2 linked regions of the Callithrix jacchus genome follow. The protein of the gene in region 1 interacts with the protein of each later gene in a pairwise test. Links are inferred from orthologs where the notes say so. Each region holds a gene or a part of one and is shown on either strand. Other genes may lie near its edges.

Evidence for each region. The genes of interacting proteins can lie anywhere in the genome.
Region 2: the proteins of QRICH1 (region 1) and NFIX interact in binary tests that used the Homo sapiens proteins (3 or more experiments, as listed by UniProt). The two-hybrid records come from large-scale screens. The link is inferred for Callithrix jacchus from reciprocal best matches to the Homo sapiens genes QRICH1 and NFIX.

Annotation. Positions count from the first base shown.
Region 1 is NC_133516.1:31,676,575-31,680,225, forward strand, and holds part of QRICH1 (transcriptional regulator QRICH1), read right to left. Parts: intron 3,097-3,651; coding exon 2,919-3,096; intron 2,417-2,918; coding exon 2,262-2,416; intron 1-2,261. UniProt on the Homo sapiens protein: Transcriptional regulator that acts as a mediator of the integrated stress response (ISR) through transcriptional control of protein homeostasis under conditions of ER stress.
Region 2 is NC_133523.1:11,895,463-11,899,113, reverse strand, and holds part of NFIX (nuclear factor 1 X-type), read right to left. Parts: intron 3,579-3,651; coding exon 3,504-3,578; intron 3,095-3,503; coding exon 2,974-3,094; intron 1,834-2,973; coding exon 1,697-1,833; intron 1-1,696.

The sequences.
Region 1 (3,651 bases):
AAGTTGGGTAAATAAGGCATACAATGTGAATGCTATTTCCCCCAAGCCAGGCATTGTTTTGTGGTGGAAAAATCATGAATAGGCTTTGCCTTCCATTAGATATTGTATAAGTTAAATAACATGTGCAAGTCTTTTAATTTCTGGGGCTCAGTTTCCTTGCCTGTAAATGGAGATGACAGTATCTGTCTTCTAGGACTGGGGAGAGCACACAATGAAAGCATGTAAAGCAATTCACATAGTACTTAGGATAGGATCAATGAAAGAGGAAAAAGCTAGGAGGCACACATTTGTCAAAGCTAGGCAGCAGGATGAGTCCCAACCAGTAACCCTTGTCCTATTATACTGCAGGTTTCTCCTCAAGATCCTTTGAACACTAAGAAATCTGGCCGGACGCGGTGGCTCATGTCTCTAATCTCAGCACTTTTGGAAGCTGAGGCAGGCATATCACCTGAGGTCAAGAGTTCAAGACCAGCCTGGCCAACATGGTGAAACCCTGTCTCTACTAAAAATATAAAAATTAGCTGGGTGTGGTGGTAGACACCCGTAATCCTAGCTACATGGGAGGATGAGACAGGAGAATCGCTTGAACCTGGGAGGTGGAGGTTGCAGTGAGCCGAAATCACACCATTGCACTCCAGCCTGGGAAACAAAGAGCACAACTGTCTCAAAAAAAAAAAAAAAATCCACCTCTGATCCCCTGAATTGCCAGTCTATAAATTTCTCTGTTATGCTTCACCACAGATGTCCTGAAAACCTAACTACATTGGTATATTATTCCACACTCCTTTAAATAACTATTTGGTGCTAATGCAGAAAACAACGAGAAGAAAAGCTCTATACTAGCACAAGACTTTGTTTTGAATAAATTACTTTCATGAAAACCATGTTTACTTTAACAAAAAGAAAAGTGTTACATTAATGCTTTGTGATTTATAATAAAAGTGAATGGCTGCAAGGTAATTACCAATAATGTAACAGAAGTTTCTCTAGGTAGTAGGATGATGAATAGTGTTTGTTTTCCTACTTTATGATTTTATGTATTTATTTTTTAAGAGACAAGGTCTCATTCTGTTGCCCAGACTGAAGGACAATGGCTTAATCATACCTGACCACAGCCTTGAACTCCTGGGCTCAAGGGATCCTCCTGCCTCAATCTCCCAAATAGCTGGGACTACAGGTATGCACCACCACTCCTGGTTTTTTTTCTTTTTTTTTTGTTTTTGAGACAGGGTCTCACTCTGTCACTTAGGCTGGAGTATAGTGACATACTCATGACTCACTACAGCCCCAACTTCTGGGGCTCAAGCAATCCTCCCACCTCAGCCTCCCAAGTAGCTAGAACTACAGGTGAGCACTATCAATCCCGGCTAATTTTTTGTAGAGACAGGATTTCACCATGATGCCTAGGCTGGTCTCAAACTCCTGGGGCTCAAGAGAACCTTCTGCCTGAGCCTCCCAAAGTGCTGGGATTACATCTTGTCCGGCTTTTTTTTTTCCCGAATTTTTGAGAAAGAGTCATCCATGCTGGAGTGCAATGGCATGATCTCAGCTCACTACAACCTCTACCTCCGAGGTTCGAGCAATTCTTGTGCCTTAGCTTCCCAGCTAGCAGGGAGTACGGGTGGGCACCACCACACCGGGCAAATTTTTATATTTTTAGTAGACAGCGTTTCATCATGTTGGCCAGGCTGGTCATCTTCAACTCCTCCTGACCTCAAGAGACCCACCTGCTTTGGCCTCCCAAAGCACTGGGGTAACAGGCGTGAGCCACCAGCACCTAGCACTGGCTCTAATTTTCTAAAGTGAATATGTAGGTTTTTAAAACTTAAAAAAGGCCAGGTGCGGTGGCTCACACCTGTAATCCCAACACCCAAGGTGGGTGGATCATAATGTCAGGAGTTTTGAGACCAGCCTGGCCAACAAATTGAAAAATCTCTACTAACAATACAAAAATTAGCCGGGTGTGAGGTGCCTAGAACCCCAGCTACTACTGGGAATCACTCGAACTCGGGAGGCAGAGGTTGCAGTGAGCCCAGATGGTGCCACAGCACTCCAGTCTGAGTGACCGGGCAAGACTCCGTCTCAAAAAAAAAAAAAAAAAAAAAAAAAAAAGACTTAAAAAAATATGTATTTTAAAACTCACTATATACCTGAAAGAGAAAGAGTTCCTTACCTTCTTGCTTGTCATTTTACTAACTAAACTAGCAAATACACAACAAGAACCCAGATCAAACATGTTCTTGAGAAGATCTGTTTCCTACCTTTTGAATACACAGGAAAATGTAGTAGAGCACATCTGGGTCATAGGGTTCACCTTCTCCATTTCGAGCTTCCCGTGTCATTAGACAGAGCCCATAATTCAACTCTGCCACAGCAGAGGAGATGAGATCTTCCTGGAATCGCAGCAGTTGGCGCCCTGCAACAGAAGCCCCAAAGATGAATGGAGGTCCTGGCAATCCAGGATGAATGGAGGTCCTGTGGGTCCATATCTGAAAAGCTCAGAACAGATACTGCCCATCAGGGTGCTGGGCTAGAAATGGTCACTTGTATCTACTGTAATGTCTTACATCTGTAATGTCAGAACAGGCCTACAACGTGAGTATGAGCCTAATGCCAAGAAAGAAGGACCTTGACCGCATACTCCTTGGTCCCCATTTCCTCCCAGAAGCCATTTTGCTCAGGTCTGGTAGGGTCAACTCCAGAAACCCATTATGTCTAAAAATACCTGGTTTTGGGCAAACCCCACACATCCTGCTTCTTATGTACACAAGGTCAGTACTGCTTGTTGCTAGGCTTGAATTCAACATACTATTTCAAATTTTGCTCTCTTGGCTCCAAGATAGGGGATACCACTTTTCTGCCATTTTGTCTTCCTGCTGTATTTTAGACAGAGCCCACTCTTCTTCCCAAACACTCACTCCCAATGGGTGCCAATCTGTTCTGAGCATCTTTCTCTAGTTCAGCATTCTTGGTCTGGGCCCAGTTTTTCCATACTTCAAGCCCTTCTTCAGGCTTCAAAGAATTTGGAAGCAGAAGTTCTGGGGAAGGCTGTGGCTGTGATTGTGGTTCAACTTCAGCAACCTGGACAGTCTGAGCCTATGGGAGAGAAACCATGAAAATGTGTCAGTATTGTTTTGTATTAGATCCTTCTGCAAAATTGCCAGAAAAATGTTATGTATAGTTCATTTATTTAAGAAAATATCTCTCTATTCCTTGCTGTCCTACTTTTAAGCAGCTTTGGAGTTCTACTTCTTAACTCAGGGACAGCAAAAGCAGCACTGCAACTGGGCTAGTGCAGTGCTTCTCAGCTGCACTGTTAAATCTTTTTTTTCAGAGTTTCACTTTTGTCCAGGCTGGAGTGCAATGGCACAATCTCAGCTCACTGCAACCTCCGCCTCCTGAATTCAAGAGATTCTCCTGCCTCAGCCTCCCAAGTAGCTGGAATTACTGGTATGCACCACCATGCTCAGCTAATTTTGTAATTTCAGACGAGATGGGATTTTGCCATGCTGGTCAAGCTGGTCTTGAACTCCTGACCTCTGGTGATCCACCCACCTTGGCCTCCCAAAGTGCTGAAATTACAGGCGTGAGCCACCATGCCTGGTCAAATCTTTTATTAAAAAACCCTAATAGCCAGACTTACCCCAGAAT
Region 2 (3,651 bases), on another chromosome or scaffold:
TAGGGAAACAACACACAGGGGGGTGAGGGGAAAAGGGAGCCGGGGGTGCTGCAGGAGGATGTTGGGGGGCCGTGCATGGCAGGACTGCCGGAAAGAGCAGAAATGCAGAAATGGCAGGCACAAAAGCAGACAGCCAAGAAAAGAGAGAGCAGGAGCCAGGAAGAGGGGGGCTCCTCAGGAACTAGGTCTGGGCAGAGGAGCCCAGAAGCCCTTGCCTCAGGAGCCAGCTAAAGACATAGCCCTCTATGCACCACATGGGCAGTCCTTGCAGAAGCGGTCACCTACTGAGGCCCTGGTGAGGGACCCAGGATGTAACCCAAGAGTCTCCCAGGCCTTCTCAACTCCTCTCTCTGCCTCTCAAGGCTCCCCAGGGAAGCATGTAGCACATGCTGGCCCAAGTCCCTGCCCGCCACAAGGAGACCCTGGGAGAGACCCGAGAATCACGGGAGGAAGCCTTCTCACAGAGGCCAGCCTCCATTGGCGGACTCTAGAGGGTCTCCGGCCTACTCCCTCAGCCCAAGGCCTGGATGCAAGCCCTCCTTTCCTCCCAGGAGGAGGAGAAGCTGCCGGAGTTTGCATTCATTCTGGGGCAGCAGAAAAGCAGGAGCGCCTCCCAGCGCTACCCTGCTCCATCCCAGCCTCTGCCTGCCCACTTGGCCCTTCTTAGTAGGGGCATATCTGGAAAACATCAGACTCAGTGCCATCAGTTCAGATCCTCATCTTCTAGAGGAGGAGAATGAAGCCCAGGGTCCAGGCCCATCCAGAGCAGATGTGCCCAGTGCACAGTTCACACTCATGGGTCTGCACTCCCAGGCCCTGTCACACCCACAGTGAGGATATACACAGACTCTACCATTGGCACATCAGTGGGGGGCTCCTGAAGACAGCCTCCTCACACACATGTGCTCATGCACATGCATACACACGCACGTGTTACTCTCTTCCAGGTCTATCTGCATTCTTAGTAAAAAATGGAGGTGAAGAGGGGTGGGTTCAACAGAAAGAGGATCCCTAGAAGGGACTGGGAAGAGTCAAGCTGGCATCCTCCGTATTCTCTCCCTTTTGCTGGCTTCCCTGTCTTGTCTCAAAAGGACTCTGCTCATTCTTCACTAGACTCTGAGTCTCTCTCCGGAAAGCTGGGCCCTGAGTGGTTCTCATCTGGGAGGATGCTGTCTCACTAGGGGACGTTTGACAATGTCTGGAGATATTTTGGGTCATCAAAATTGTGGGTGGGTGTTTTGCTGCTGGCATCTTATGTGTGGAGGCCAGGGATGCTGTTAAACCTCCTGCCGTGCATAGAATAATTCCCACTACACAGAATGATGAGCCCCCAAATGTCATTAGTGCCCAGGGTGAGAAACTGCTTTAAACCATGAGGCCCACAGGGTGGGGCAACCTCTCTAGAGAAATACCAGGAGGGGCTGCGGCCACCCCACCATGGGGCACCAGAGACTTGGCAGCCCCTCTGCTTCCCACACCATAGGCTCTGCTGCTGACTCTGACAGCACCCTTCCTCACCTCCACTCCCTTGCTTCAGCCTGCTCTGCCCTCCGTGGAAGATCAGGAGGCAAGAAAATAGGTGGGTAATGTCTCCCGACATAGGAGGAACTGGTGGGAGGCTTACCAGGTAAACTGAGAGGGGGACAAAAAGGCTCTGGGTTGCTCTTGCTCTGGGTCAGGACCCCTGCACCCATACCTGCATCCACATCGTTGGGCCACCCGCTGGACTGGCTGCTACCAGCTGCTGGGGAACGGCCTGTCCCAGGATAGAACACATCATCGACGGGGCTCTCCATCTCGCTGTCATCGATGGACTTGGGGCGCTTGGTGGTGCTGGGGAAAGAAGAAAGGATCAGATGGGCCAAGGATGGGCCGAGGCTCCAGAGAGTGATCAAGTGTCCAGGTCAAACAACTGTGCACAGATGGCCCTCTGGGTGGGGAGTGATGCCAGCTGACAGAAGCACTTCTGGGCACTCACTGCATGCTCAACCCCAGGATCATCCCTAGGCCCTCAAGCCACTAGCTCCAAGCCTGCTCCTCTTCCTCAAGCCCCTTCCCGATATGTGATGCCACAGTCCTCCAGGTTGCCCATATCAGAGAACTGAGCAAAACCCTCAGCTGCCTACTGTATCCCACCCATGATTCCCCAGCAGCCCCCAAGGCTAGGGTGAGGTGAATGAGGTAATTGAAGGGACAAAAATAACACAAAACTCAGTTATCAATATAAAGAATATAGTCCAATATTTAAAAAATACCAAAATGAATGTCGAAAATCTCAAAACACCCACGTTTTAAAAAAAAGACAGGGTGGACCCTGCCCAGCATGACTTGCCCTGGCCAGAACCCACATCTCCACCTCCCAAGCATCTCTCTCCCTCTCCATGCCACCCCTACCCCTTTAGGCTCTCCCCCACTCCAGCCTTTCCAATGGCTTCCTAACTGGCAATCAGTCCTGCCCACACACTGCTGGTGGCGAGAGCTTTCTGGAGCACACACCCTCAGCATCCCCGCTTAAAACCCCTTAGGAGTCCCCGCTACCCAAGGATGAAGTCTAAATGCTTTCTTCTGGCCTCCAAAGCCCTCTGCAGGGTGGTCCCGCCAGCCTATGCAGGCTGGACTGGGACAGAGGCTGCCCTCTTCTCCTGCAACAAACCCCCGACCTGCCCCTGTGTGTCTGGGCTCAAATGTCACCTCCACAAGGGAGAGACTTTCTCAGACTCCCACTTCCAGGCAGAGCCATGCCTTGTGCAAATTTGTATCCCCAGGGCTAGGTGCTACATGACAGCACAAAGCAGGAGCTCAGTGGGTGACTGCTACTGGTGAACTCTAAAGTGTTAGAGCCAGTGCCCTCAATGAGAGGTGATATTCTGAAGCACCCCAGCCTCAGTGATATAGCTGCCTATAGCCACCTAGGACAGCCCTGGCCCTGGGGGGAGGAGAGAGAAGGTGGGAAGGTGGGGCCACTGGGCTCACCTGGTGGAAGGAGGGGAGGTGATGGACCGCCGTCCCAGGGTCACCTGGTTGATGTTGTAGTAGCTGGGACTCTCCAGGTCCGCCAGCGAGAAGTTGGGCCCTGATGCTGTGGCAACAGGAGCTAGGAAGAATGAGAGGATGATGAGGTTTGGAGGTGGGGGGAGGCCTGATGGGGTCTGTTTCATTGTCATGAATGGTTTCCCAGAATCCCAGGGTGAGTTGACTATGGGGCCAGGAGATGGGGGAAAGTGGGCCATCTGGGCTGCTGAGGAACCTTCTCTCAGCTAGGGGTCACAGGAGAAGAGACTTTGGTTGTGACTTTTTTTTTTCCTCCAAAGCAATGGAGACTGGAGACAGGGCTCTCTGGAAGACTCTACTATACCCAGCCCAGCACCAACAGGGCCAATAGTGTCCCAGAAACCATCTGTCCCCATCCACTCCCCTAAGACTCCATTAGGAGGACATCCCATGAGGTCCTACCTCCTTACTTTCAATCCCCATCCCTGGCCTGGAAGGAAGGACTCACTTACTCTGTGATACTCTCACCAGCTCCGTCACATTCCAGACCCCGGAAGTCACAAAACAGTCCTGGAAACTTAAGTGCCCTAAAGAGGGGAAAGGATGAGTGAGTCAAGACAAGGCCAGAAGGGGGCTGCCTGCCTGTTTGCAAAGGCCTTC